Linked DNA regions of Macaca fascicularis. The protein of the gene in region 1 purifies or fractionates together with the protein of each later gene. This does not show direct contact. Links are inferred from orthologs where the notes say so. Each region holds a gene or a part of one and is shown in the gene's direction. Other genes may lie near its edges.

What was found.
Region 2: the proteins of CDC27 (region 1) and NEK2 purify together in Homo sapiens (affinity purification with mass spectrometry; 6 studies listed by BioGRID and IntAct, with this or other methods). This does not show direct contact. The link is inferred for Macaca fascicularis from reciprocal best matches to the Homo sapiens genes CDC27 and NEK2.
Region 3: the proteins of CDC27 (region 1) and CDC26 purify together in Homo sapiens (affinity purification with mass spectrometry; 12 studies listed by BioGRID and IntAct, with this or other methods). This does not show direct contact. The link is inferred for Macaca fascicularis from reciprocal best matches to the Homo sapiens genes CDC27 and CDC26.
Region 4: the proteins of CDC27 (region 1) and CDH1 purify together in Homo sapiens (affinity purification with western blotting; 4 studies listed by BioGRID and IntAct, with this or other methods). This does not show direct contact. The link is inferred for Macaca fascicularis from reciprocal best matches to the Homo sapiens genes CDC27 and CDH1.
Region 5: the proteins of CDC27 (region 1) and MAD2L1 purify together in Homo sapiens (affinity purification with western blotting; 29 studies listed by BioGRID and IntAct, with this or other methods). This does not show direct contact. The link is inferred for Macaca fascicularis from reciprocal best matches to the Homo sapiens genes CDC27 and MAD2L1.
Region 6: the proteins of CDC27 (region 1) and TTK purify together in Homo sapiens (affinity purification with western blotting; 3 studies listed by BioGRID). This does not show direct contact. The link is inferred for Macaca fascicularis from reciprocal best matches to the Homo sapiens genes CDC27 and TTK.
Region 7: the proteins of CDC27 (region 1) and anaphase-promoting complex subunit 11 purify together in Homo sapiens (affinity purification with mass spectrometry; 8 studies listed by BioGRID, with this or other methods). This does not show direct contact. The link is inferred for Macaca fascicularis from reciprocal best matches to the Homo sapiens genes CDC27 and ANAPC11.

Annotation. Positions count from the first base shown.
Region 1 is NC_088390.1:68,162,236-68,166,829, reverse strand, and holds the start of CDC27 (cell division cycle protein 27 homolog), read left to right. Parts: upstream 1-1,510; 5' UTR 1,511-1,633; coding exon 1,634-1,660; exon of another isoform or gene 1,661-1,887; intron 1,888-4,594. UniProt on the Homo sapiens protein: Component of the anaphase promoting complex/cyclosome (APC/C), a cell cycle-regulated E3 ubiquitin ligase that controls progression through mitosis and the G1 phase of the cell cycle.
Region 2 is NC_088375.1:69,485,790-69,490,342, reverse strand, and holds the start of NEK2 (serine/threonine-protein kinase Nek2), read left to right. Parts: upstream 1-1,506; 5' UTR 1,507-1,654; coding exon 1,655-1,750; intron 1,751-2,589; coding exon 2,590-2,807; intron 2,808-3,392; coding exon 3,393-3,633; intron 3,634-4,553. UniProt on the Homo sapiens protein: Protein kinase which is involved in the control of centrosome separation and bipolar spindle formation in mitotic cells and chromatin condensation in meiotic cells.
Region 3 is NC_088389.1:44,824,135-44,828,712, forward strand, and holds the start of CDC26 (anaphase-promoting complex subunit CDC26), read left to right. Parts: upstream 1-1,530; 5' UTR 1,531-1,724; intron 1,725-3,660; 5' UTR 3,661-3,713; coding exon 3,714-3,772; intron 3,773-4,510; exon of another isoform or gene 4,511-4,538; coding exon 4,539-4,578. Other genes in the region: PRPF4 (U4/U6 small nuclear ribonucleoprotein Prp4), read right to left, coding at 388-565, 1,333-1,359. UniProt on the Homo sapiens protein: Component of the anaphase promoting complex/cyclosome (APC/C), a cell cycle-regulated E3 ubiquitin ligase that controls progression through mitosis and the G1 phase of the cell cycle.
Region 4 is NC_088394.1:64,908,749-64,912,606, forward strand, and holds part of CDH1 (cadherin-1), read left to right. Parts: intron 1-922; coding exon 923-1,150; intron 1,151-3,858.
Region 5 is NC_088379.1:125,166,468-125,169,467, reverse strand, and holds part of MAD2L1 (mitotic spindle assembly checkpoint protein MAD2A), read left to right. Parts: intron 1-2,000; coding exon 2,001-2,121; intron 2,122-3,000. UniProt on the Homo sapiens protein: Component of the spindle-assembly checkpoint that prevents the onset of anaphase until all chromosomes are properly aligned at the metaphase plate.
Region 6 is NC_088378.1:95,143,902-95,148,475, reverse strand, and holds the start of TTK (dual specificity protein kinase TTK), read left to right. Parts: upstream 1-1,700; 5' UTR 1,701-2,413; intron 2,414-2,786; 5' UTR 2,787-2,904; intron 2,905-3,528; exon of another isoform or gene 3,529-3,540; 5' UTR 3,541-3,542; coding exon 3,543-3,681; intron 3,682-4,574.
Region 7 is NC_088390.1:88,277,734-88,281,153, forward strand, and holds the end of anaphase-promoting complex subunit 11, read left to right. Parts: intron 1-2,300; coding exon 2,301-2,446; 3' UTR 2,447-2,649; downstream 2,650-3,420. UniProt on the Homo sapiens protein: Together with the cullin protein ANAPC2, constitutes the catalytic component of the anaphase promoting complex/cyclosome (APC/C), a cell cycle-regulated E3 ubiquitin ligase that controls progression through mitosis and the G1 phase of the cell cycle.

The DNA of each region.
Region 1 (4,594 bases):
ATTTTTCATTTTATTTTAACTTAAACTTTAAATTGCTAATGATTACTTTCTAGGCCAGCATAAAAGGCTGTTACCACTCAAATCATCCAGCATAATACCACTGAAGCAACTGGGTACAGGGCAGCCAAAAATCACCTTAGCACCTGCCCTCTGAGGGGCTGTAAGTACATATACAGTGACAAGAGAAGGCGGTGGAAAAAGATGCAGTGTAGCTCTGTCAGCCTTGTTTTTAAAAATGGAAGAAAAAATATCTCCCTCCAACATCACCCAAAGGGAAATTTCCAAGCAATGGAATATATCATGAGTCTCACATCTAGCCTAGAGAACTCCTGACTAGAAGAGTAACCTTCAAAAACCGTTTTTCTCTTCTGCTGAAAAACAAAATTTAAACAGTTCCCTAGTTCACTCTCCTTCGGAGGAGAGGAAGAGCAGAAAGGAAATACAAGAGAGTCTACATTGCGTGCTAGACACAGCCACACTTGTAATACATCAAATTCCCTTAATCCTTTTTTTTCAAACTAAGCAAACACAAGTTCAGAGAGGTTGTAATTTGCCAAGGACCTATGACTAGTTAGTGCTAAAGATACAATTCAAAATCAGGCCTCTGAATTTCCTACCCCCTACTCTTCCCACCACAGTGGAATGCCTCGCCTGTCAAAAATAAAAATTTCTAACGGCCTATTGAGTTTTTCCATGATCTCTTCACCTAAGTAACTATTTCCAATTAATGCCTTCTCAGCAGGCTGATCTCATTTTTCCTTCCTTCACTTTCCTATACTTATTTTTCCTCTGATTCTACCCATCCTTCAAACTCCAGTTTAAACTTTTTTTTCCTTCCATAAAACTTTCCTCATCTTAACACAATTTCCCTCTCTGAATTTTTATATTACTTATAATAGGCACCACATAATATAGCGTTCTCTGTTACACTGCTTTTCCCTTAAATAGACCTTAACCTCCTTGAGGACAGAAGCTATCCTAATATCTTTGGAGTGGCAATCTTTCCAAATTTCTTTAGCTTTCCCCAGAGCCGTGAGTAGATACTTCTGGAAAGGACGAATGATCTAAACTCAATAGACAAATACTTGTTGATTCATTAAAGTCTGCCCCAAACTCTGCTGTTTCACCCTTTGCTTTATAATCTACAGCACATCAATTAACCCAGAAGGGCTGAGTGGCGAATCCACCCTGCAGCCCCGCCACGTAACGCTCCCGGGCCGCTCAGTCACGCCACGCCCAGCCTGCTGGTTGCCGATTGGGCGTGGCCCAGCCCTGGGACGGCCGATTGGGCGTGGTGTGCGTGACTGAAGGCGTGGCTGAGAAGAAAACCTACGCTTTGGGTTAGACTCGGTAGTTTCCGGGAATCTTCGACAATTTCCGGCAACGATTTTTCTCTCTCGTCGACCCACCTCGGGTATTTCCGACCCCTTTCGGGCTTTTCCGTCTGGCTCCCGCTCGGCTTTCTCCACTTCGGGAATTTCCGTGTCCCGCTCGGAAGCACTCGGCAATCGCTCGGCCTCCCCCATTCCCCGGTAACGGTCGCTGGTGAGTTTAAATGAGCCGGGGCTGGCCGGGCCGGAGCCGCTACCGGGGGGGCCTGAGGCACTGCAGAAAGTGGGCCTAAGCCTCGAGGATGACGGTGCTGCAGGAACCCGTTCAGGTAATGATAACCCTCTTCTCTGAGGCTTGGCTTGCAGCCTCAGTCGGGAAGCAGCGTAGGGCCACTCCGCGGCCTGGTGCGGCCTAGGCCCGGCTGCTTCTACCGCCTCCCTTGCTGCCGAGTCCTGCCTATCTTCCGTCAGTTCGGAGGCCTTGCCCGCAGCCTAAGCCGTGTTACCTCTGGCCCTACGTTACTTCACCCTTAGTGTGAGCGGCTTCGGCGAGAATAACCGTCTTTCCCGTCCGAGCCAACGTCCGGCCAGCCCTTCCTGTCAGCCCAGGGGCCTGGCTTGACTGGGGTTGGGAGATGAGGGGCCGAAAACGCACCCCAGGCGCTCTCTTGCCTAAAAGATGATCGAGAAGCACATTTGATCGGAGCTTGTATGATCTTCGCGATGGTAGGGCAAGTTTGCGGAGGTTTTTTTATTTTTGTCTTATGTGAGAGAGTGGAGGGAGAGTAGGATCGGTATCTTTAATACTAATTTCTATTTTGGTAACAGACTTCCTCTCCCACGTTTCCTTTCTCGGTGAATTTCCCACCGGACAATGATGGTTTGAGAAGACAACTCCAAGCCTCAGTGCTGAGGTGCAAGCACCAATACCAGGGGAGGAGGTGGAAAGGGCATATCTGGGTTGTTTTCATCCTCTCTGATGGGGATCAGGAGCATTTTGTTGTGCATGTTTATAAGGCATTCAGGAAATGAAAGACAAATAGTGGTGTTTGTGTCTGTTTCACTGCCCTTACACCAAGGTATGCTTTGACGCACAGTGCTGTGTTGCATTAAAGGAACCCTATTGGATTTTAAGTCTGTGATGCAGTGCCAAGTCATTTTCCCCTCTGACATCTGGAGAAACTGAATCTTTTGTGCCTTGGTAATGGACCAGGTCTGGGAGACTTCCTCCCACCATGTGATCTTTGACTTGATCAGAATTGACTTCTATCAACCACTGTCATTGAGTCTTGGACTTTATTTTGAAGTTATAAAGCAAACCGATTTTTAGAAATTCCTTCATATTGCCCTTAAAAGGCTTGAGGTATCAAATAGTAAATATTTTATTATGTCACTGCTTTCATATTTATTTCATTTTTCTAAACAGCATGAAATACTCATTTCTTCTAGTTTGGCTTCTTCTCCAGCTGTTTACATATAGCAGCTATTAGTGTTTGAATTAATAAAACGTTAAGATTGTATCTTATGAAATTTTCCTGTCTGTAAGTTGTATCGGTTTTTCTAGAGCTATTTCTTTTTACCAGCATAGTTTCTTTTAAGGCTTTTTTTTATTCTGGCTGTAGATGAGGTAATTATATAATTTTTTAAGGCCTAACATGAACTTAAATAGATAAGCAGATTACTCAAGTTATTTAATTTCTGTTGCATATTCTTGTAATTTTGTTTTAATAATGATTTTTTTTTTTTTTTTTTTTTTTTTTTGCCTTCTCTGGCCCCAGAAGTCTTCTAAAGTGATAAACTAGTTGCACTGATAGACGATAACCACCATTTAATAATAATTTCAGACTTTATAAAAGCATGGAAGGCCGGGCGCGGTGGTTTACACCTGTAATCCCAACGTTTTGGGAGGCCGAGGTGGGTGGATCACCTGAGGTCAGGAGTTCAAGACCTGCCTGGCCAACACGGGGAAACCCCGTCTCTACTAAAAATATTAAAAAATGAGCCGGGCGTGGTGGTGGGCGCCTGTAATCCCAGCTACTCGGCAGGCTGAGGCAGGAGAATTGCCTGAACCCAGGAGATGGAGGTTGCAGTGAGCTGACATGGTCCCGCTTCTCTCCAGCCTGGGTGACAGAGTGAGACTCCGTCTCAAAATAAATAAATAAATAAATAAATAATAAAAGCATGGAAAAGAAAAGGAATATGTATCCTATTTCTAGATAGTACCCATTAGGTTTCCTATTTGCCCTTAAAGTACTCTTAGCAGTAACACACTTCAATATTTTTAAGGCTTAAATGTCAAATTTGCTTCTTTTTCATACTAGCATTGTCCATTAGATTTTTGAGATAGTGGTAGAAAGTTTTAGGATATAACTAGGTAAAAATTTTGGTTGTATAGTATAAGAAGAAGCCATTCAAGAAGGGATTTGGAGCAGTGAGAAGAACAAGCAACTTTAACTACAATGATAAAGATCAATGATCAGGGATAGTGCTGCAAATGGGAAAGAATTAGGAAGAGAATAAAAATAGGACAGACACATAAGATACTGTCTTTATTTAAAAAAAAACAAAAACAAAAAACTATGATGACTGATTGCATGTATTTGGAAAGCAGTGAGAGTAAGTTGGAAAATTGTTCTTTCTTGGAATGCCTCAGAGTTGATGGTATTACTAGGCATAGGAAGAAGTTCACAGAAAAGATGAACAACTGTTTTCTGCATTTTTTTTTCTTTAAAGTTTTAACGTAGAATGGCCAGGCTGATATACCATATATGCCTAAATTAAAACTCCATCTCAAATTACCACTTCTCAGAAGAGTATTACTTTATATTTGAGTCCTTATAAAAGTCTCAAATATGAGGCAGAAGTTCTGTCAGTTCCTTTATTTTTAATAGTAACTATTTGGAAAGACACACTAGGCTAAGTGACTTCAGTGAGAGCTTTTTGGAAAAGTCATCTGATGAAATTGGTTTTTTAAAAAGAAGCAAAGAGATTTTATATAGATTTAGCAATTATTCCCGGGTGAAGCAAGACTTCACAGGAGTGTTGGATGAAGTTGTAAATAAGCCTTTCAAAAATTGATTTAATAAGCAATATAGCAATTGGGTACCATATACATGATATTATTTTAGAGATCATTAGATGGTGAAGAAGTACTTTTGGCTGGGGATAAAATGTTCAGGGACAGCATTTAACATGGATTCACGGGGAGGGGGGAGTGGGGAGGGATTGCATTGGGAGTTATACCTGATGTAAATGACGAGTTG
Region 2 (4,553 bases), on another chromosome or scaffold:
TCAACACGTGAACTTTGGGGGATACATTCAAACCACAGCAAGCTCTATGGATACCGATCTGTAAGAGGCACAAAAATAAAAAATGATGCTAATTAACATAGCCATCTGCAGTGCCTTACATAACTTTTGAAACCTAAAATTGTCCTATTCCCCTGAGGTAAGACAGTACCCTTGAATGTTAATTTAAAAATTCTCCTGGTTGGCAATTCCAGTTATCTTATGTTATATTCAGTGCATGTAGTAAGTCCCTTATTTTAACATAAAGAGCTTTTAAATTCTTATTAATAGAAAATCAGGTTTCTTTTAATCCTATGCCAAATAGATATTTAAAGAAAACTGGCCTGTTTATGCATTGCCAAATTATTAGCTTTCTGGTAATGTACGTATTTCTCCAACAAGCCCTGGATGGAGGCCTCTAGGTGCTCCTTCCCTGGTAAACATGGGACTGTTCATTTGGCTGGGTAAGCTGGGAAAGTTGGTTTGTGTGGGTGCCTAACAAAGAATCTGTGTTCAATGAAGTATTGTCAATAGGGTGAATTATGTGTTTGGCACACATAAACGGGACAAGATGTGTAAAGTGCTTGGTCAGAGAGCGACTGTATTTCTTCTTCTTTTTTTTTTTTTTTTGGAGACTGGGTCTCACTGTGTCACTCAGGCTGGAGTGCAGTGGCGCAATCTCTGCTCACTGTAACCTCTGCCTCCCGGGTTCAAGCAGTTCCTCATGACTCAGCCACCCAAGAAGCTGGGATTACAGACATGCACCCCCATGCTCGGTTAATTTTTTTTTTCTTCATTTTTAGTAGAGACGGGGTTTCGCCATGTTGGCCAGGCTGGTCTTGAACTCTTGGCCTCAAGCAATCCCAATCCGCCTGCCTCGGCCTCCCAAAGTGCTAGGATTATAGGCGTGAGCCACTGCGCCCGGCCTAATTTTCGTATTTTCAGTAGAGACGAGGTTTGCTATATTGCCCAGGCTGGTCTGAACTCCTGGGCTCAAGCGTTCCACCCACCTCGGCTTCCCAAAGTGCTAGGGTTACGGGCGAGGGTGAGTCACGGCGCCCAGTCTAATTTCTAATTTGTATTCAGCTCTCAGCGTGTCCTCAACGTGACCCCACCCAGGTTCAGGGTACTGGAACCTGAGCGAGGAAGGCGTGTTCCGGGGAGAGTAGGTAGTGTGAGGGGCCAGAGTGCAAAGGTCAGAAGGCATTTGGTGGAAGCTGTGTGCAAAGAAGCCTGAGGGGAGGTCCTTCGATCTCGGTTACCTTGGCGATCTCTACCAGAGGGTTAGAGTTGCCAAGAGGCGCCTGCTGCCGCTTCCTTTCTCCCGCCCTCCCTTTGGTTTAGCTCCGCCCCCTGCTCCCACAGGTTAAAAGCAGACGCCGACGCGGCTGCCTAGTGACACTTTTCCCAAGATGCCTAGGGTATTGTTGTGTTCTTCTTAGCCAATCAGAGAGGCGAAGCGGGCCCACCGCCTGCCAATAGACTGCGAGATCAGGGCCCGCGACAGTTAAACGGGGCCGAAGGCAAGGGTGACTGGTTAGCGCTGCTCGGGGGCTTCTCCGTGCTGGTCCCTGAAGCTCCCGGTCCCGGTCCCTGGAGCTCCGCATTTGGGGGCGCAACCTGCGTGAGGCAGCGCGACTCTGGCGACTGGCCGGCCATGCCGTCCCGGGCTGAGGACTATGAAGTGTTATACACCATTGGCACAGGCTCCTATGGCCGCTGCCAGAAGATCCGGAGGAAGAGTGACGGCAAGGTGAGCGTGGTCCCTTCCCTGTGCCAGCCCCTGCTTAGGGGCGAGCGCCCTGCGCCACCGAAGGGAACCGAGAGGGCTGGTGAAGTGGGTGCCCGGAAGACTCAGCCGTCTTTACTGAGTCTGCATCTGACAGCCTGTCCTGGGTCGCTTAAAGGATGGGAGACCGCGTCTTTTGATATATGTATTTCCATCTTTTCCCGTTTCTCTCCCCATTTCTCTCTTCTGTTTTGGGTTGCTAAGGACCTTCCATTGGTGACACGTAGCTAACTCCTGAGCTGTTTTTAGAGCTCTAAGAGTGGCCCTCTCAGACACAAGAAAGGGGCAGGACCACCAGAACCCGAAGCTTTGTATCTGCAGTCAGACTCCCTCAAAATACCCATTATTCGGATTATTGGATTCATATTTCCCAATGTATACAGGTAGACCTTTTACAGAAAGTAATATTGGACAGGAAACTGCCTGGCTGCTTTTCCAAGGTGTCTCATCCTGGGAAAACACGACTGAGGTGGAATGGGGCAGGGACTTTGACCACCTCCACCCCAATTTTGACTAAAGTACCTTTTTGCCAACTTCCCACTAACCAACTGAGGGTAGGGGTTGGGGGAGACCTCATGTGCCTTATTCCCCTTTATCTCCCTACAACATCATTTACTGCTTAGAAATTGAAAGAAGATTATGGAAGTAAACTCACAGTTCTTTAAGTTCATTGAACTAAATTAGATAATGACCTTGATTGTAGGATATAATTAAAAGGAAGGTTATTTTTTAAATCTTGGAACTTTCATTCTTTGTTTTTGAGCGTAATGAGTTCATTCATACCTTGGAAATTCTTATTTTAGATATTAGTTTGGAAAGAACTTGACTATGGCTCCATGACAGAAACTGAGAAACAGATGCTTGTTTCTGAAGTGAATTTGCTTCGTGAACTGAAACATCCAAACATCGTTCGTTACTATGATCGAATTATTGACCGGACCAACACAACACTGTACATTGTAATGGAATATTGTGAAGGAGGGGATCTGGCTAGTGTGATTACAAAGGGAACCAAGGAAAGGTAAGCATAATCTTTTAAAAATGTAAGCTGAAATTAGGTCTACTTTCATTTATTTTAAGCATCTTGTTTTAGGATCAGTAATATGGAAGAGTATACTTGCATTTGTTTGGTAGGTCCATAGTACTTTAGAAAATTCCCGGTGAATCAACACCCATATTTTATATCAAAATAACAATCTATAGGCTGAGTGTGGTGGCTCACACCTGTCATCCCAACACTTTGGAAGGCCGATGCAGGAGGATCACTTGAGCCCAGGATTTCAAGATCAGCCTGGGCAACATAGTAGGACCCTGTTTCTACAAGAATTAGCCAGGTATGGTGACATGTGCCTGTAGTCTAAGCTACTTGGGAGGCTGAGGCAAGAGGATTGCTTGAGCCTGGGAGGTCGAGGCTGCAGTGAGCCATGATCGTGCCACTGCATTCCAGCCAGGGTGACAGAGCAAGGCTCTGTCTCAAAAAATATAAATAAATAAATAAATAATTTATTTCCCTATTAGTACACTGGATAATTTATATCATCCCATCTTGGCAACGATTTTTTTTTTTTTTTAGAAGTTATATGCTGTATAACTGCTTTGGTTTCAGGCAATACTTAGATGAAGAGTTTGTTCTTCGAGTGATGACTCAGTTGACTCTGGCCCTGAAGGAATGCCACAGACGAAGCGATGGTGGTCATACTGTATTGCATCGGGATCTGAAACCAGCCAATGTTTTCCTGGATGGCAAGCAAAACGTCAAGCTTGGAGACTTTGGGCTAGCTAGAATATTAAACCACGACACGAGTTTTGCAAAAACATTTGTTGGCACACCTTATTACATGTCTCCTGTAAGTATTTCAGAATTTAGATACTTTTTAAAACATCTTTTATTTTTGTTTTTTTGTTTGTTTTTGAGACAGAGTCTCGCTCTGTTGCCCAGGCTGGAGTGGAGTGGTACGATCTCGGCTCACTGCAACCTCTGCCTCCTGGGTTCAAAGGATTCTCTTGCATCAGCCTCCCGAGTAGAGTAGCTGGGACGACAGGTGCATGTCACCATGCCCGGCTAATTTTTGTATGTTTAGTAGAGACAGGGTTTCATCATGTTGGCCAGGCTGGTCTCAAACTCCTGACCTCAAGCAATCTGCCCACTTCAGCCTCCCAAATTGTTGGGATTATAGGCGTGAGCCACCGCTCCCAGCCAAAACATCTTTTAATGTTAAGCATTCTGAAGCAGGGAAATTGAGTTTTCTGTTTGTTTAAGAATTGAAAATACTGTTATATTTTTCCACATGGACCACCAGACCAATAAAGTCTATGAGTTTTTGTTTGCTTCATGAATTATGTGTAATAATGTAAGTATGATGAAGACAGATTCCTACTCTAAGGTTTGCTACTGTTTGTCATCTCTCAGTGGGTTCAATTTTTTGAGCATTCATGCAAATTAAAGCATATTCAGTTCAAGCTTTTATGGAATGATTACAATGCATTAAACTTAAGGATTACAAAAATGAAATGGATTTTGTCCCTGCCCTCAAGAGCTGTTTCCAATGTGTAGGTCCTGGTCATCTGCATCAGACTCACTTGGAGTATCTGTTTAAAATGCAGAGTTCTGGGTGCTAAACCAAACCCAAATCCGTCGAGTGAATTTCGATCTCTGGGTAGGTTCTTGAACTCTTGTTTTTTGGTTTTTTTTTTTTTTTTCTTCAATATTGTACTTTTTATTTTAGACTTTGCATTTTAACAGACTCTGTAAATGATTCTTGTGCAT
Region 3 (4,578 bases), on another chromosome or scaffold:
AAGAATTGAAATTCTGCCAGGCGCAGTGGCTCACGCTTGTAATCCCAGCACTTTGGGAGGACGAGGGGGAGGGATCACAAGGTCAGGAGTTTGACCAACATGATGAAACCCCGTCTCTACTAAAAATACAAAAATTAGTTGGGCTTGTTGGTGTGCGCCTGTTATCCCGGCTACTCCGGAGGCTGAAGGAGAACTGCCTGAACCCGGGAGGCGGGGGTTGCAGTGAGCAGACATCGCGCCACTGCACTCCAGCCTGGTGACAGAGCGAGACTCCGTCTAAAACAAAAGAACTTAAATTTTTTGACATTATAAAACTGATGATATTCAAGTTTAGGAAAGTATTCATTACACAAAGAGGTAAAGATGGGTTCACAATTTGCATCTTACCAGAGGTTATATTAATATTTCCAGCTTCGATCCCTGCTTTAAGTCCTTCTTTCCCCAAAATCCCAGACTCTCCTTTGGCCAGACGCTCCCTCTCCTTCTCTTCCAAACTTCCATAATAGATGTGTGGTTTCTTCACAACCGGAGCAACTAAGTCATCGGGTGTTTTAGTTTTGGTTGCCTGCCAAATCAAAAATCTGGATTAAATTGAGGTTTAATCTTGGCAATTTACCGGATTTCCCGAGGATGAAGCTCGCCCTGAGTTTCACAGTCCTATTTCCTTCATAATTGAAAGGACAAATTGGACACTACTTAAGATGTTCTTCATCGATTTGAGGTGAAGGGGAGGGTGTTTCAGTCCCTCACTTTAGCTGACGGGATTGATAAAACTAGTGAGGTTCTCTCGAGTATTTTCATATGAAAGGTTTGCTCTGGAATCTGTTTACTTTATTCTGCTGGAAACGTGGAATCTCGTGTTTTACGATGTATCCAAGATTACTGCTCATCACTGGGGAAATACTAAGGATAGATGAAATAACCAACGCGGTGCTAAAGGATAACAAGTTACAACATTACGAGTGTATACATTTCAAACGTTTCTAGACGTGAGGTAGAAGTTAGTAGGTCTCATTAAAATTTTGAGATCTGCCAAACGCATAAACCTTGGCCAAGACACTTCCCTATTTCAGAGCACCGTTACTGGATGAGTCGGAAGAGATGTTTGCCCTTTGGGGCTGTAGTGGGAGAGGTGCAAATAAGCTACAGTCCACGAAAGCGCTTAGGGGTCAGGAAAACGGTGGTCCGCTGTGTAGAACACCACTGAGTCCCGCAGCCTTCCTCCTCAGCCCTCCACCGCCTTCTCTCGCTCCCTAACGGCCCCTTCCCGCAGAGATCCTCTTCCCCCTTCGCGCTCCCTGCCAGAGTGAGTTGCGATCCCGGGCTCTGTACCGTGGAGGAGGTTCGCGAGGAAGCCATGCTGGGCTCTGGAGCCGCGAGGCCCCAGCGAAATCCAAGCTCTCCGTTTCAGACCTTCCACCGCGCGCCCAGCAGAGCGGAAGTGCGTCACTGACCGGAAGTGTGTCGCAAACAGGACATGGGCCAAGAGCCGTCGCTGCGCCCGGAGCGGCGCGGAGCATGATGGAAGTCGTAGTAGGAAATGGCGTCGTGGCATTGAGGGGCATCCCTCCTAGAACCTCCAAGAAAAGCTCGCGGAAGACGAGGTTCTGCTGAGAGAGAGGCTCCAAGCCGTCTGGGAAGTGTAGTCCAGTTGGCGTAGCAGTAGTTTCGTGGAGGGGAGCCGAGGTTCCGGGAAGGGGCTGAGCCGACTTGAAAAGAGGTAGGTAAGTCGACTCGCGCGGCTCGGGGCTGAACTCTGGAGCGAGTCGAGGGCTTCCGGGGCCCGCTGTGCCTCCCCGGGCCTACGGGGGCGTTTACGTCTTCTGGGAGCCGAGGACCGTGTTACCATAGAAACCCTGGGATCCGAGGTACAGGCCTGGAGCTAGGGGACGAGGACTGTTCTCTTCCATGGTCCGGAAGTCTTCCCAGGGGCCACCTATGAGCTTGATGGCTCGGCGGTGGATTTGGGCTGCAGCGAGAGATTAAGCTAGAAGAGCCCGCTGGTGCCAAAGTCAAATAAAGACCCGGCGGAGGAGCTTCGGCCTGATTTTGTTCATTTGTCTTCAGCCTGGTCTTTGTATCAGATTGAGAGTAAGATGATGGTTAGGAGGGTGTCAGGGAACTGTACGTCTCTCTGCCCTGCTGGATGCTGGGGTATTAGAGACGAACAGCATAAGGTTTTTATCCCCACGTGGACGGTGGGAGATCCTCAAAATATTGACGTTTCCGTAGCTGGCCAGATCCTCATCCAACCCCCTAGAAAAATTACAGCCATAATAGGTGTTATTTATTGAACATTTATTAAATGCCAAGTAATGTTCCAAGAGCTTACTCTGCATTACGTTATTCACTTCCTACAACAGCAAAGTAGGATACAGATGAGGAAACTAAGGCCTAGTTAGAAATGAAACTAATTGTTCAAGATCAGTGGCGCAGTGGGATTAGAACCTGTGCCCTTTAACCTCTACAGCCAGCACTTTTAACTGCTACTCTATACTGCTCCGTAGTGGCCAGTTTTTCGCAGTTTGCAGAAAAGGTAAAATGTATAGTAGACCTTTTTTTTCCTTTTAGGTATCCCTATCCCTCTCTTTCCCTCTTTGGAACTTTGGCTTTCTCTACCATTTGTCTGCATTGGAATCTGGTAGAAGATAATGCCTGATTTAGTACAAAGCAATTTGAAATGTAATGTGCCAGTGTTTTGTGTTGATAATATCGCCTGTAATATCCTAAGCTTCATGGGAGAAGGAAATATTTCTTCCTTTGTATACTTCACAGTCCCTAGTTTCATCCTAGATACATGTAATAATTTGTATCTCTATATACTTTCAAGGAGTTTTCACTTCCATCATTCTCACTTAATCCTTATCATGTTGACCTGTATAATTTTTATAGGAGGCTAAAATTATTAACCAAACTGAACAGCTTGCTTCGATGACTTCTTTATGTGTGAAATAGGAATCATTTTGTCAACTTCACAGGTTTTTGTGTTAAGAATGTAAAGAATGGGAATGGAAAAAGAGCACAGTGCTCAAGAATGATCTCACCTTTTATTCAACAAACATTTACTGACTGTTTTTATAGATACACTCTAGGGGATGCTGTGGAGAATATACAAATGATGCCATCAACAGATATTAAACTCAATTGGGGGAGTTGTGTTTTCTCAAAAACAAAACAAAACAAAACAAAATGGTTTTTGTTAACACAGTATTACCTCGGGATTTCAGGCTGTGGAATGCTCTTTTGAACCTCTTTTCTTCTTCTTTTTTTTTTTTTTCTGAGTTGGGGTCTTATGGTGAGATCATGGCTCACTGTGGCCACCTCAAACTCCTGGGCTCAAGTGATCCTTCCATCTCAGCCTCCTGAGTAGCTAGGACTACAGGTACACACTACCAGCCTAGCTAATTTTTTTACTTTTTTGTAGAGACAGGGTCTTGCTATGTTGCCAAAGCTGGTCTTGAGCCTCCTTGTGCACTCTTCTCTCTGCCTGCCCTTCAGAAGTCAACTAAGATATCATTTTCTCCAGGAAGGCTTGCCTGACATCCTTGTCCACCCCACACTCAGCCCAGACTGGATTAGGTGCCTGTGTGATGCCAGTGCCAGTATCCTCATTAGGGTTCTCGTTATATGATATCATAGTTTTCTTTATTTTCCCCACAGATTATGACTGTACCTTTTAATTCTGTAGCTGGAGCACAAGAAGTGTTTGTTTAATGAATGACGTACACACATTTAGGATCTGTTTGGACGCTGAGGATAATCCTGTGAATTGGTGAGTTGGAGTCTTCATGAGATTTAGCAAACTGATTTTAGCATTCAGGAGTGATCACAAATCTCTGACAGTTCTCACGTAGAGTAGATTAAATTCACTGGTTTGTCCACTTTCTCCTCTAACTATACTGAGATGTGATAGTTTATTCTTTTAGCTAGAGTATTTCTTTGAATGTGACTAGAACATGAGATTAAAGTGATAGTTTGCTATTTTAAATTCTTACTGAAAGAGTTTTTGATTTTACAGAGCTGTAGATCTCCATAATGTAATAAAAATGTAATAATCATATACCTAAAGACTTTAGAAGTTGGCTGGGTATAGTAGCTCTTGCCTATAATGCCAGTACTTTGGGAAAATGAGGAGGGAGGAACACTTGAGCCCAAGAGTTTGAGACCAGCCTGGGCATCAGAGAGAGATCCCATTTCTACAAAAAACACAAAAATTAGCCAGATATGGTGGTGTACACCTGTAGTCCCAGCTACTCTAGAGGCTGAGGCAGTAAGATTGCTTGAGCCCAGGAAGTTGAGGCTGTAGTGAGCTAAGGTCATGCTACTGTGCTCCAGCCTGGGCAAAGAGCAAGATCCCATCTCTTAAAAAGACTTTAGAAGTCTGTGTGAATTCAAATAAAGTTTTAATACTTCCATTCACTTTAGTACACAGGCTTGCAAACTGATTTTATGTTTTGTATCTGAGACTTTATTACCTTCAGTTTTTCCTCCTCTCTTTCATTTTTATCAGCTAATAGTTCACTGGGTTTGGCCCTTAGTGTTGACTTCAGTATGCTGAGACGAAAACCAACACGCCTA
Region 4 (3,858 bases), on another chromosome or scaffold:
CCACTTGCAACCTCTGGGACCATCTTCTCTGCCACCTCCTGCTCCTGGGACCAAGCAACACCGTTTTTGTGCTTAGCTCCTTCTTGCCAGCCAATCATGAGCTCCCAGATTTGTCAGCACTATTCTACCGAAGTGGAGGCAGCTGTCAACTGCCTGGTCAATTTGCATCTGTGGGCTTCCTACACCTACCTCTCTCTGGGCTTCTATTTCCACCGCAGTGATGTGGATCTGGAAGGCGTGTGCCAGTTCTTCCACAAATTGGCCAAAGAGAAGCACAAGGGCGCTGAGCGTCCCTTACAAATGCAAAACCAGTGTGGCGGCCGCACTGTCTTCCAGGACATCCAGAAGCCATGTTAAGATGAATGGGGTAAAACCCTGGGCGCGATGGAAGTCGCTCTGGCCCTGGAGAAGAACCTGAACCGGGCACTTTTGGATCTTCATGCTTTGGGTTCCGCTTGCACAGACCACCATCTCTGTGACTTCCTGGAGAGCCACTTCCTAGATGAAGAAGTGAAACTCATCAAGAAGATAGGTGACCACCTGACCAACCTCTGCAGGCTGGCCAGCCTCCAGGCCAGGCCGGGCGAAAAGGTTCACTCTCAGGCACAATCAGGAGCCTACCGAACCCAGTGACATCTGAAGAGCCCCACTCTGCCTGAGCCTCTCCCTCCAGCTACTAGGCAGCTTTTTTTAAGCAACCCTAGAACCCTCTCCCAAGCCTTAGACCAAATGGAAAAAAAAAGAAAGTACATACCTTTTTACAGAAAAAAAAAAAAAAAAGTACATACCTAGATAAAACCCAAGCAGCTCTGCTCTCTTCACTCAAGGCACTCAAGTGCCTTTAGTTCACTAACAATTTTATTCTGGAATGAGCTTTTTTTTCTCCCCTGATCTCATCATTTCTTTTTATTGCTTTCTCCAGCCCAAGAATCTATCATTTTGAAGCCAAAGATAGCCTTAGAGGTGGGTGACTACAAAATCAATCTCAAACTCATGGATAACCAGAAGAAAGACCAAGTGACCACCTTAGAGGTCAGCGTGTGTGACTGTGAAGGGGCCGCCGGCATCTGTAAGAAGGCACCGCTTGTCGAAGCAGGAATGCAAATTCCTGCCATTCTGGGGATTCTTGGAGGAATTCTTGCTTTGCTAAGTAAGTCCAGCTGGCAGGTGACTCAGCCTTTGACTTAAAAAAATGGAGGAGGTTTATTTCCTGGAAGTTATTTTTGTTCTTATATTAATAAGGATACAGGTTAGCTGATACAGGAAAGAGACTCCCAAGTTATGCTAGCCTCCATAAAATAGAAGTTTGTCTCTTACTGAACATTTCAGAGGTAAATGGTCTAAGATGGGAAGGCCATGAAGTCAACAGGGGACCCAGGTTTCTTCTGTTTCTTTTCATCCTTCAAGTCAGGCATCCCAGGCTTGAGTGCATACAAATCATCTGGGCCTCTGGTAAACTGGGAAATCTGATCCAGGAGGTCTGGCATAGGGCCACAGATTCTGCATTTCTTTTTTTTTTTTTTTGAGGCTGAGTTTCGCTCTTGTTGCTGAGGCTGGAGTGCAATGGCGCTATCTCTCAGCTCACTGCAACCTCCGCCTAACGGGCTCAAGCAATTCTCCCGCCTCAGCCTCCTGAGTAGCTGGGACCATGGGCATGTGCCACCACGCCCAGCTAATTTTGTGTTTTTAGTAGAGATGGGGTTTCTCCATGTTAGTTAGGCTGGTCTCGGACTCCCGACTTCGGGTGATCCACCCGCCTCAGCCTCACAAAGTGCTGGGATTACAGGCTTGAGCCACCGCACCCAGCCAGATTCTACATTTCTAACCAGCTCCCAGGGGGTACTGATGTTGCAGTTCCTTAGACCATAAGCAGAGTAGCAAGACCTTGGGGGCTGCCCTCATCAGCGTGTTCTAAGCTAGCCAGCTCACCACCACCACCTCTACATTCCATCCTAGATGGGGGAAGGGGATAAGAGAGGAAGTGGAGGCCAAATGACTAGAAGTTGCATATATCACCTCCACTTACATACCACTGGCCCAAACACAGCCACACCTAGCTGCAAGGGAGCCTGGAAGTTTCTACTTGCAATTGAAAATTGGCATGGAGTAGGGGTGGAGTGCAGGATGAGCAGTGAGTGTCAGTGACTAAAAGGATAAAGGAGAAAAAGAATGCTGAGGAAAATTGACAGTTTCTGCCATAGTCCTTAAGCCTGTTTCCATTGGAGCCCACTTGGAGTGAGCCCTAGGGGTGACACAGGTGCTATTACGGTCAAGGTAAATACTTTTGTCATTCACACGCAGAGAGAAAATACTGAATCTATTAAAGGAATACATTAGCTATGAAAACAGATTATGTGCATCGAAAGACAAAGTATCCATATGGAGTGCACTACATCGGAACTCTGGTAGGGCTTTAAACATATGAATGATAGAAGAGCAAGCGAATGATTCTCAAAGCAAATGAGAGCAAGTCAGTTAGAAACCTTTGACCAGGTATGGTGGCTCATACTTTGGGAGACCAAGGTGGGAGGACTGCTTGAAGCCAGGAGTTTGATACCAGCCTGGGCAACAAAGCAAGACCCTGTCTCTACAAAATGAAAAATATATCTTTTTTTTTTTTTTTTTTTGAGACGGAGTCTGGCTCTGTCGCCCGGGCTGGAGTGCAGTGGCCGGATCTCAGCTCACTGCAAGCTCCGCCCCCCGGGTTTACGCCATTCTCCTGCCTCAGCCTCCCGAGTAGCTGGGACTACAGGCGCCCGCCGCCTTGCTCGGCTAGTTTTTTGTATTTTTTAGTAGAGACGGGGTTTCACCGTGTTCGCCAGGATGGTCTCGATCTCCTGACCTCGTGATCCGCCTGTCTCGGCCTCCCAAAGTGCTGGGATTACAGGCTTGAGCCACTGCGCCCAGCCGAAAAATATATCTTTTTAAAGAAATGTTTAAAGATCATAAATAATTAGTGACTGCAAGGAGTGGTCCAGTTCATGAATGCGTTTGTAGTCAGCGTAGTCAGAAAAAGCTGTTAATTGAGTCTCAAGGACAGTTTTGTGGAAGATATAAGTGGTTAGGCCACAGGGGCTGGTAGAATTCCAACAGGCTATGGATATTCAGGAAGGTTCCCCTCCTAGCAAAGCACAGCAGAGGCTTGAGGAGACTCCTAGGAGGACAGAGACCAGGCCAAGCTGGTGGGAATGGAAAAAGATTTTTGGAGGGAGCAGTGGGACTGAATCTAGGGCTTTCCATTTAGATTGAGCATGGGTGCCATTGATCCTGCTGCTGCTGCCTCAGTGGACTCCAGGAGAGGGTGCCTTTCAATCTTCCAGAAATGCTTGCTGGGCATCCCATTTGCTTCTGCCCCCTCCTAGTGTTCTCCCAAAGTTGAAGAGAAGGATACTGCTGTTGAGAATTGAGCATGCCTTCTGGACTTTCATCCTGCCAGGCTTTACATGGCTTTACTGTGCCATGAGATTAGATTAATTCATCATTGTCTTGGGCAGTGTAACACAAGCCCTGCCTGCCCACTTCCTAGTCAAATTACATTTGAGTGGCCTGGTCTGCTTTTGGGATAGTGGTTACTGACTAGTACATTCATTTTAAGGGGAATCATTTTCTCTTCTCTTCTCTTCTCTTCTCTTCTCTTCTCTTCTCTTCTCTTCTCTTCTCTTCTCTTCTCTCTTCTTTCAGGCAAGGTCTCATTCTGTGGGCCAGCTGGAGTGCAGTGGAGTGATCTCAGATCTCATCTCACTGCAGCCTTGACTTCTGGGGCTCAGGGGATCCTCCCACCTCAGCCCCCCGGGTGGCTGGGACCACAGGCATGAGCCACCACACCCAGCTAATTTTTTATATTTTTTTGTAGAAACA
Region 5 (3,000 bases), on another chromosome or scaffold:
ACGTTATGTGTGTCTAGACCTTCCTATTTAACTTCTCCCTTTTATTTTAGTTAAAGTGGAAAAATTGCTCTTCCCTAGAGGCAAGTTGTTCTGTTTGTTTTTTGTTTGGAGTCTCACTCTGTCACCCAGACTGGAGTGCAGTGGCGTGATCTCCACTCACTGCAACCTCTGCCTCCCGAGTAGCTGAGATTATAGGCGCCTGCCACTATGCCCGGCTAATTTTTGTATTTTTACCAGAGACGTGGTTTCACCATTTTGGCCAGGCTAGTCTTGAACTCCTGACCTCGTGATTCACCCACCTCTGTCTCCCAAAGTGCTGGGATTACAGGCGTGAGCCACCACACCTAGCCAGTTGTTTTGTTTTGAATGTCATTTCCTCTAGCCTTTTTTAGGGTCTTGATCCTGTTCTCTGTTATATTTTCTGCTTCTGTGTTTTGATTTTAATTATCCCCATTGTTTTCATCTCTCCAGTTTTAAAGGAAGAACAAATTACCACCCAGTCTCCTCCTTTTCAGAGTGAAACTCATAAAAAGTTGTTGATAAATGCCAGGGATCACAAGGCCCACAGGCCGCATCCAACAGGTGGCCTGTTTTTGCACTGCCCACAAGCTAAGAATATTTTTACACTTCAGGTTTGTTTAAAAATAAGCAACAGAGACCTTGGTGGCCTATAAGCTTAAAATATTTACTAATTACTCTTTTTTGTAATTTTTCTTTACAAAGTTTCTTTACAAAAACTTCGCTGACTCCTGAATATGCTGTTTCAATTTCCAAGATTACTTCAAGGCTCAATCTGAGCCCCCGTTCTGTCTTTATAATTTCTCTATAGGTGATTTCTGACCTGTGTATAGCTTCACTAGCAACCTCTGTGTAGTCAACTCACAAACTTATATATCTATCCCAAAGCCTCTTTCTCCAGACTCATATATTCAGCAGCTATATCTTTATGTAGCTATCCCAGAGATAACATATACTCAAGCATACTAAAAATTAAATTTAGGATCATATCCAAAACTGATACTCTTTAATTTTCTCTCTGTCAGTGGCTAAACCGTCCAAACAGAAATAAAAGAAACTTGGAAGCTGTCCCTGAATCATGCTTCTTCCTTACTACCATGACTAAACCCAATAAATTTTAACCATGAAATCTCTTACATTTACCTACTGCTTCGTCTCTACCAGTTTATCCTCCTACAAGCTTTCATTAACTCTTGCTCGAATTACTGATGGACCAACTAGTGTCTCTAGATCCCCTCTTTAACATCTCCAGTCTACTTTCCATATCACAGCTAGAATGATAGTTTTGAAATACAAGACTAATTGCTTTACATCCTGCTTCACACACAGTAATGACTTCACTGGTCTTGAAGTGCATATTTTTTAAATTTGATCCACCAGGCTTTGCGTGGTCTGGCTTCTATTAATCTTGCAAGGATTGTATTGTTTTATTTTGTTTGTTTGTTTGTTTCTTGATTGCACTTGTAGTGAGCTGCTTCCAGTCTTCTAGTTATATGCTCTTCCCTTGTGAGTATTTGAGGCCTGTATCTTCTTTCCTATCCTTTTGCATATTTAATGCTGTTTATCCCTAGAGCTAAACTCAAACCTTTTCTGACCTCCGTAAGTGGCTCAAATTTTCCTTCTTTTATGCTCTCATTGCATCTTACATCTCTCTTTCATAGCAGCCATTACAATGATAATTTGTCATTTATTGGTGTGATGAGTAGATGAATGCCCATCTCCTATGCTTTTATCTTGGATTAGGATGAAAGTACCATATGTTCAGTATTCTGTCCTCAGCACCAATTACTGTACCTGGTACAGATACTGAGAATTTGAAAACAGAAGTTAGAGTATTGATGGTGCAAATTTTCTTGCACGTAGGAGGAAGTCCAAGATAGCAGTGGTAGGAATTTGCTGAGGATAGGGAGTAGGACCTGAGAAGAGAGCTACTTTATGATGCAGTGGACCAAGAAAGATGCCTTCATTTTTATGTGTTGCAGATTGGTTATACAAGTGTTCAGTTCAGAAACTGGTTGTAGTTATCTCAAATATTGAAAGTGGTGAGGTCCTGGAAAGATGGCAGTTTGATATTGAGTGTGACAAGACTGCAAAAGATGACAGGTAAGTAGGAATTACATTATTTCTACTTTGATATATTTTTTCAAAACTTGTTTTTATTACCAATTGAGTTCTAATTATATTGAACTAGTTTTATATAAAATATAGTTTGTTTCTAATTTATATTTTCTAAGATATCCTCAGTCACCTGTGGAAAAGAATTGTCGGTTTAACATATCATTGATTTGTATATATATAATTGCCTTTAGTCTAAATCAGCAATTTTCAAACAGTATTTATGGTGGTATATACAAAACTACACATGATATACTAGATGAACCATTTAATGAATTGTTCTAAGATGTTTTTAACTATAAGGAATTATATTAGATTCACACAATTTATGATGTAGCTCTGCTGTACTTCCTTTAATGCCATCTACTTCCTAAGACACTTGATAAATTTCTGAAAGTTCCAGACTCCCTGGAAGAGAAGTGTCTGTCTTTATACTCTAATGTTTAGCATTGTCCTAGGCATGCTTTTCTATAAACTGGGAACCATTTCTTACAGTGAAATGTAGTTTGCTTCTGAAGGCTTTGGTTTATTTTAGGAAATTTTTAGCTTATAAAATAATTTGATACACAATTTAATGTTTTATTTGAGAAAATAGGAATTTAGACATTTAGGCATTACTAAAAGTGCCAAAATGATTATACCAATTAAATATTTTAGATAGCATTTGTTATTTTATTTCAAGAGATGCTGAAGTTTCCTGAACTTGAAATGATTGGCAGATTTTCTAGTCATCTGATACTAAATGACCTGACACTAAGACCAGCTCTAAAAGATGCCTGGCAGGATAAATGAAGTAATGAGGATGTATGTTGTGCCTACTAGGTTATAGGTCCAAAGGATACTTTCATTCACAGTTTTTACAAACCT
Region 6 (4,574 bases), on another chromosome or scaffold:
AATTTTTCCATTAATGTCATCCTCCTGTTTCAGGATCCAGTTTACGGTATCACAGTGCATTTAGTTGTCATGTCTTCTTAGTCTCCTCTGGTCTGTGATGGGGTATATTAATTTTAATAATATATTTTATTTAACTCAATATAGCAAAAATATCATTTTAACCTGTAATTGATATTTTTAAAATTATCAATGTTTATTACTTTTTCTTATTCAGTCTTCAAAATCCAGAGTGTATTTTATACTTAACAGTACATCACATTTCTTACTCAGACACTTTCATTGGAAATACTTCATCTGCATTTGCATCTCACAAAATTTACAGTTGAAAAATTAGTTTCATATACTTAGGTTGTTCCAAGTATACTTAAAAGTCTTCCAATAAATTCATGACTAATGCAAGTTTAGAAAAAATTAAAAAAATTACTTTAAAAAGTTTTAAAATAATCCCATTAGATATCAGTTTTCAAATTTAAATCTAAATTTAATCAATTAAGGTTAATTAATTTAAAAATTCAGTTCCCAGTTGCACTAGACATATTCAAGTGCTCAACAGTCACTGACCATCATAAGGACTCTTGGTTTTATTCCGAGCTAGAAAGGGAGCACTGAAGGGTTTTGAGCAAAGTAGTGACATAATCTGATTTAAGATGACTTTGCTATGTCAGAGAATAAATTGAGGTGAGGCAAGGGCAGAAGCAGGGAGACCAGCCAGGAGGCTACTGCATGTAACATCAGGTAAGTGATGAAGGTGCCTTGGACTAAAGTGGTGGCAGTGGAGGTGGGGAGAACTGGTAGGAGTCCAGGAATCTCTTGTGCTAGCCCTGACTCAATCTGCTTATGAATTAGATAAGGGATCTGGATGACACAAAGGTTTTGAGGCTAAAAAATTTAGGATAATGAATTTGTCTTTTTAGATTTTGTAAAAAACATGTTTGGGTAGGAATATCAGGGGCTTGGTTTTGGACATTTTGAGTTCAAGATGCGTATGAGACATGTAAGTGAAGATAATAAGTAGGCAGTGGATATCTGAGTATGGAGTTGAGGAGAGCTCAGCTGGTGATAAACATTTGGGAGCCATCAACATATAGATGGTATTTAAAGATAGAAGACTGAAGGAGACTACCAAACGAGAGTACAGAAAGAAGTGTTAGGGTGAGGTCGCCCAGCAACAGTATTTTCAGGAAAATGCAAGCTTTGAGATCAGGCCGCAAACAGATCAACGAGAATTGAAAGAATAATAAACTCTTTCCAGGCAAAAGCAGCATTAGATGCAATGGTGCAAAGGTAAGTGATTAGCCAACCATGGTATAGCAAGTCATTTCTGCTCTGCTGAAGCAGAAATACCAGCTAGCTGACACAGAAAGATGCATTAAGTGATTGAGAAGGGCTCTCATGCTGACTGGGTGACTATCCAGAGCTGGGAATGTGAGGGTTCTAAGGACAGCTTTAGAGTTAACAAGTGACAGCTGCAGTTAGTTTCCTATACATACACAAAACCAACCCGTCCTACCACCGAACATATGTCATAATGCTGGCACAACAGACACATCCCTTTTAGTTTTGCAGACGAGGAGTAACTGTTGCCCTGGACCACAAAGCCACTTAGCAGCAGAGCCTCGCACCCGCGAAGATTACTAGGGAGATGTTTTTACCCCTGAGGACACCTGAGCCCTTAAGTGGGGCAGGCTCGGAGGGAGGGGGGCTGATAAGGCGAGTTCAGGCAGGGCAATCATGATGGGCGCTTGAGTTCTGCGCAGAATTTTGACAAGGGGGAGGGTCCTGGCTTGAAGATAACGCAAGGAGTCATTTAAGGATAATGGAAGGGCATAAGCGGAAGCGTAAGGATAAAAAGCATTGAAATTCTTGAGCTGGCGGCAGGGCTGAACGTAGCCCAGTTAAAAGATCCTTTCTTGCCACATCCTCTCTAAGCCAGGCTGTGAGTACCGCGTGGAACGAAGGAGAAGGGTGGCGGTGAGGTCAGTAAAGAGCCGGCCCAAGGTGCATCTTTTAGGTCCGGATGATGGGAGCAGCCGTCCCCGCCCCTATATTCCTCTCACCAGGTAGGTTTGCCCGGGAGTGGCTACCTCCCAGGCAGAAATTCCGCCTGGTTAAACTGGAAAGAGCAAGAAAGCCCGCCCACTGGCGCCCGGAGAACGCCTGCAAAGTGCCAGCACCCTACCAACCCAGGAACCTCACGGGTGCGAACGCCGCCGCGGGCTCTTCCGGGGCGGGCCTCGCCCGACGCAGGGGGAGGGGCGGCCCCGTCGCACACGAACCAATCACGACAGACGCTTCTACGTGGCTAGCATTGACCAACTGGAGACCGTGGAGATAGCGACGGGGAAATTCAAACGTGTTTGCGGAAAGGAGTTTAGGTTCCATCTTTTCATTTCTTCAGCGCCGCTTCCAGTAGGTAAGTTCTCACCCACCGGCGCACCGGCGTACTGAGGAACGGCCGCAGCCGGTGTAGGGGCTCATTGTCAACGCCGGTCGGTGAGGGGTGGGGCGAGGTGGGGGCAGCTTGCAGCTGGATATGCGACGCGGCTAAACAAGCTGGAGGGGGAGGGGAGGCTCGGTGCCTCAGCGCGTCTGGCCGGTGGGGTGATGCTGGAGGTTTTGTTGAGGAAGTAAGAAGTGGGTGTGGCCCACGCTGGAAAGAAGGGGTGGTGGGGTACCTGCGCACAAGATCGTTTTCCAAGGACGATCTCTCTTGTTTTGCGGGTTGGAACTGGGAAAGAAAGGGGTGGCCGTGATCTGACAGTTACCTTTCAAACCTCTCTTAAAAGGTGGAGTGATACCTTGCTGCAACTTTATGACTTCTTCATTGTTAAATCCGAAGACGGGGCAGCATTGTTATCAGTCACACTGAGCTGGTGTTTGAGAGGCACAGAGATACGATTAACAGTAAGACTGCAGACACTTTATTGAACAAACACCACCACCATGCAGATAAGCAAGTGCTCAGTACCAGTACAGTAGTTTCTTAGTGCTGGATTAAGGTAGCAAATCATGATTCTGCTAGATATGCACAAGAATAAACCTGTGGATTTCTTAATTATCAGTAAAGCCCCATCATATTCATATTTTGCTTTGAAAGCACTTGCACTGTGAAGATTTACTCACGTAAAGCAGGCGAATAAAAAAATTGTTATTCTCGTTGCCAAATTCTTTGCCTGTGTCACTACCAGAATCCAAGCAATCTTTATGTGTATGTAGCTTCCAGAATCCAAGCAAACACTCCATCATATTTTTTTAAGTGACACTAAATTTGCAGATTTCTAGAGTGATTTCTAGAGTATGACGTCATTGATGTTATATTGGGGGGAAAAGTGTACTTGGCCTATGAAACCTTGCTGAATAAATTACAAAGATGTGTACCTTGTTGTTGTGCACTTAGCTCCATTAATACTAGCCTAGTAATAGCTGCGTTTAGATGTGTTCACAAAACGAATGCTTTAGTCGTCTGGGTTCTAAAAAGCTAGCACATTTTTTTTCTTTGATGCTAAATAGGAATTATGACTAGTTCAGTTTTTTTCTTAGAAATGGAGTCCGAGGATTTAAGTGGCAGAGAATTGACAATTGATTCCATAATGAACAAAGTGAGAGACATTAAAAATAAGTTTAAAAATGAAGACCTTACTGATGAACTAAGCTTGAATAAAATTTCTGCTGATACTACAGGTGAGTTTTTCTTTTCTTTTAAGTTATTAACTGTTTGTTGGGTGTCCTCTAAGGTAAGGAAGTAGTACTAATCACTTTATAATTTACTCATGTGTTTATTGTCTTTCACCTCCACTAGAATGTAGGCTACATGAGGGCAGGGTTTTTATCTGTTATATCCACAGAACTTTGGTGTCTGGCACATGGTAGGTAGGTACTTAAGCATTTATTGAACAATGATTAATGGGTGAAGGTGCCCAGAGTTTAATACTCTAGCTCTTCTAAAAGTATTAGCTCAGAAGCCTGATTCTTTACTGTATTTCAAATGGTTGGTCATTTGAATGGTGACCTTTGGATAATTTTGTTACATGTATACTAACCATTAAATAGATGAGAAATTGAAAATAAGTGGAAGAACCTGTGATCTAATTATGGTGGCTGACTGTGTTCACTTTGAAAAAAACCTAGAAAATGATAGTTTTGGTGTTAAGCAAAATCTTAATAGAGTATAATTGTACTTAATTATGTCACACTAACAAAGGTTGTACATCAAGGCAATTGAGTATTTTAAGTATTGAGGAAGATTCAAAGGTGCTTGAAACTATAGTTTCTTTCTAGGTGAGAATTTATATATTCACTATGCTACACTGTAATGCATGCTGGGCATCATAGGAATACTAGCATGATAAAACACAAATGTTTTATTTGTTGATTAGAGGAAGAATAGGGTCCTCAGGCACGAGGAATGTATCTGCAAAGCCACAGATGAAAATGTGTGTTTTAGACATTTCACAGACTAATTTCTTAGGAAAGCAATAGGAGGTAAAAATAGAAAATTAAAGTCAGGCCAAATTAAATTTAAAACGACAAAGCAAAGTTATGCATGCACTATATTTTAGTAGAAAGTAGAAACA
Region 7 (3,420 bases), about 20 Mb from region 1:
TCAAGTAGCTGGGACTGTAGGCAGGCTCCACAATGCCTGGCTAATTTGTTTTTTAAGTTTTTGTAGAGACAGGGTTTTGCTGTGTTGCCAAGGCTAGTCTTGAACTCCTGGGCTCAAGGGATCTGCCTGCCTTGGCCTAGCAAAGTGCCGGGATTACAGACGTGAGCCACCATGCCTGAACAAAACTACATAAATTTTTAATTTTTTTTTTTTTTTTTTTTTTTTTTTTGTGGAAATGGAGTCTCACTGTATTTCCCAGGCTGGTCTCAAACTCTTGACTCTGTCCTGCCACAGCCTCCCAGAGTGCTGGGATTATAGGCGTGGTGCCTGGCCAGTACAAATACTTGTTATTCTAGGCTTAACTTTTACACTGGCTCTAGCTAAACAGAAATCTTATTATTCAGGAATTAATCCTCATTTAATCAAATGGGTAGGGTGTAATATTAGGAAATTATTGATTGACTCTGCCTGATTGGATTTGTACTTAATAGCTAATTAGGTTAATAACTAGGCATTCACAAGGCATGGTTTTGTTTGATCCCTTTTAAATTGCTCTTAAGGATGTAACAAAGACAGCACGGGGTGCTCTGAGGGCAGTCACTCAACTTCTGGAGCAGCAGGTTAACTTCTGAAATTCCTCCAAACCATGTGTCCACGCCTAGTCTGGCTGCATCTGTGGGCCAGATGTGGGTGGTGAATCCTGTGGATTAGAGGCGGCACTAGGCAGCCCCCGACTGACTGCAGTGGAGGGTCCACAGGCAGCCTGCAGAGCCCGGCCTGCACCATGCCAGCTGGACCTGTGATGGGACATCCAGAGGGGTGCTACCCTGAACTCTCAGCATCTCTCCACTGGCACAGTGCCTCAGACTTTGTTAAAATGGGGCCTGTTGGCTGCACACTAAGGAGTTGAGAGTCTGATTTTTGGACCTGCTGATGGTTAAGTTATAGTGAGTCAGTGTTAACGTGCAAAGCGTTTGACAAGTCTAATGTGCTTCTGGGCTAAGCAGCACCAGGTTTCTTTTGCTAAAATTGAACTCCTTTGAAAAATTCAGAGTGGCTAAGTTCAACAAAGACCGTGGGAGCCCGAGGCTGGTAAACAGTGAGTCTATCCCGCATCCCAGAGGACTCTTGTGGCAATGCAGTTTTGCGGAGAGGAGTTTTAATTTAAAGAAATGCAATCAGGAGATCAGCAGGTCCTTGAATGAGTCAGCCTCAGTGCATCTGCGGACTCATCAGACACCCCAGGCTGGCTTCGGGTGGGGAACGCACTAGAACGAAGCGGCACCTTTGTCTAACGGGGCCTCTCCTGCGCACTCAGACCCTCTCCTCAGGGGGCTCGCAGGCTTCGCTCTCATTTGAAAGGGGTGATTTCAAGCAGAGTTGTGCTGAGGCTAGAAAGCCCCCATGGGCAGGTCCTCCCAGGGCTGGGAGTGGGCATGCTGTGGGGCCGGTGCCGCCAGGACAGGAGGGCGGCCACGAGCTCCAGCTCCACAATGCCAGACCGACCCTGCCACGGGGCTGGGGCTGGGGCTGGGACTTGCTGTGCTTTGCTGGCAGCAGCTGTTTCATGGGGTTTTCCAGGCTCTTGGAGATCAGGGACACTTGTTTCTCTTGATCATGGCTTATATGAGTATCCCTCTCTGTCAGGCCCTCTCCATGGAGAAAGCATTTCTAGGTGTTTGGGCTGGTGCCCGCAGCCTGTGCCTGTCCTGGGAGGCAGGGCCCATCAACATGGCGTCCCCAGTGCCCGGGCGGCACCCCGGATTCCTGAAGTCTAGGGAAGGGTCTTCTAGGTCCCCAAGCCCCACCCCTCATGCCCTTGATCAAGAGACCAGTTCACTACTCAGATGTGTGTCTCCTTGGTGCCTTGACCATTCATGTGACCTTTTTGGCATCACAGATCAAGTGTCTGCAGGTGGGCTCAGGGCCTGTAGGTCAGACGATGCCCTTTTTCCCCAGCCTCAAGCACGGGACAGTGGTCTAGACCAGAGTGCCTCCTCCCGGATGCCGCCTCCTCAGCAGGGTCCCTGGGCTCCCCGCTGAGCATGATGAGCCTGAGCCTGGGCGTGGTTGCCTGGGGTGGAGGCCTCATGTCTGGCATAGTTGCTGGTCTTCGCCTGGGGGCAGGCTGGTCAGGAGACCGATTGGGTAACTCTCCTGATTTCGGCTTCTGTGAAACATGAGAGGCTGCAGGGCTGGAGCCACTGCCCAGGGTCCCAACCTGCACCCCTGCCTGGCTTGTCACATGCTCTGTGTCCAGCCTGGTCATGCCTGTCCTTTTCCCCGCCTCCCCTCTGTAGGCAAGGTGCCTGGCGACGACTGCCCGCTGGTGTGGGGCCAGTGCTCCCACTGCTTCCACATGCACTGCATCCTCAAGTGGCTGCACGCGCAGCAGGTGCAGCAGCACTGCCCCATGTGTCGCCAGGAATGGAAGTTCAAGGAGTGAGGCCCGGCCTGGCCCTCGCTGGAGGGGGTGTCCCGCGGCCCCTTCCTCATGCTGGCGCTGATGGCTGCGGTAGCTGCTGCTGGGGACAGCGCCCCTGGGCTGTAACAAGGTGGAAACAAGGGCTGGAGCTGCGTTTGTTTTCCCATCACTATGTTGACACTTTTATCCAATAAGTAAAAACTCATTAAACTACTCAAATCTTGCTGGAGGCCGCTGGGTGCCTGTGTTCTCAGCATATTGATGCGGTCTCGGTGTGTTTTGATATGAAAACTCTCATGAATAAACATCTCCGTGAAACGCTGTCAAGGCACTCATCAAACCCTGAGTCACAGCTGGGAGGAGAAGGCGCGGGATCAGACGGTAGGGCCTGAGGCATGCTCTTGCCTGCTGGATGGCCGGGCGGCCCTGGACCCTCCCTCGGGCTGGCTCTGAGGGACTCTGGCTGTGCACAGCTGGCAGCTGCTGCTTGTGGTACCCCCAGACTGAAGGCCACCATCTCTAAGCAGGCGTCCGTGTTCTCACTGGGACTGTCTGCAGCTCCTCGGTGGAGCTGGGCCTCCCACAGTGTAGGGATCGGTGTCCTGACACTGGGAAGTGTGTCCACACATGTCTGAGGCTTCCCTGCCTAGGAAAGGGTGGCCCTGGGAGGCTCCTGTGCTCCCCACAATTGTGGGAAGGGGCCACTGGGGGAGCGGCAGCCCTGGGGTCTCAGGCTGCTTCTGGACAGAGCGCAGGCTGTATCTCTAGTAACCTGGGGAGCCCTTGGCATTCATGGGGCCAATGCCCTGTGCCCAGTGTGAGCCTTTTGACACTTCCTTCCTCACAGCACCCTGGGGAGTAGACCAGGCCTCCCCTGAAATCTGTGTCAGATTCCCTGGAGAGACAGGACTCTCTATATGAAGAGTATATATGAAGAGTTTATTGGGAGCATTGACTCACTATCACAAGATGAAGTCGCACAATAAGCCATCTGC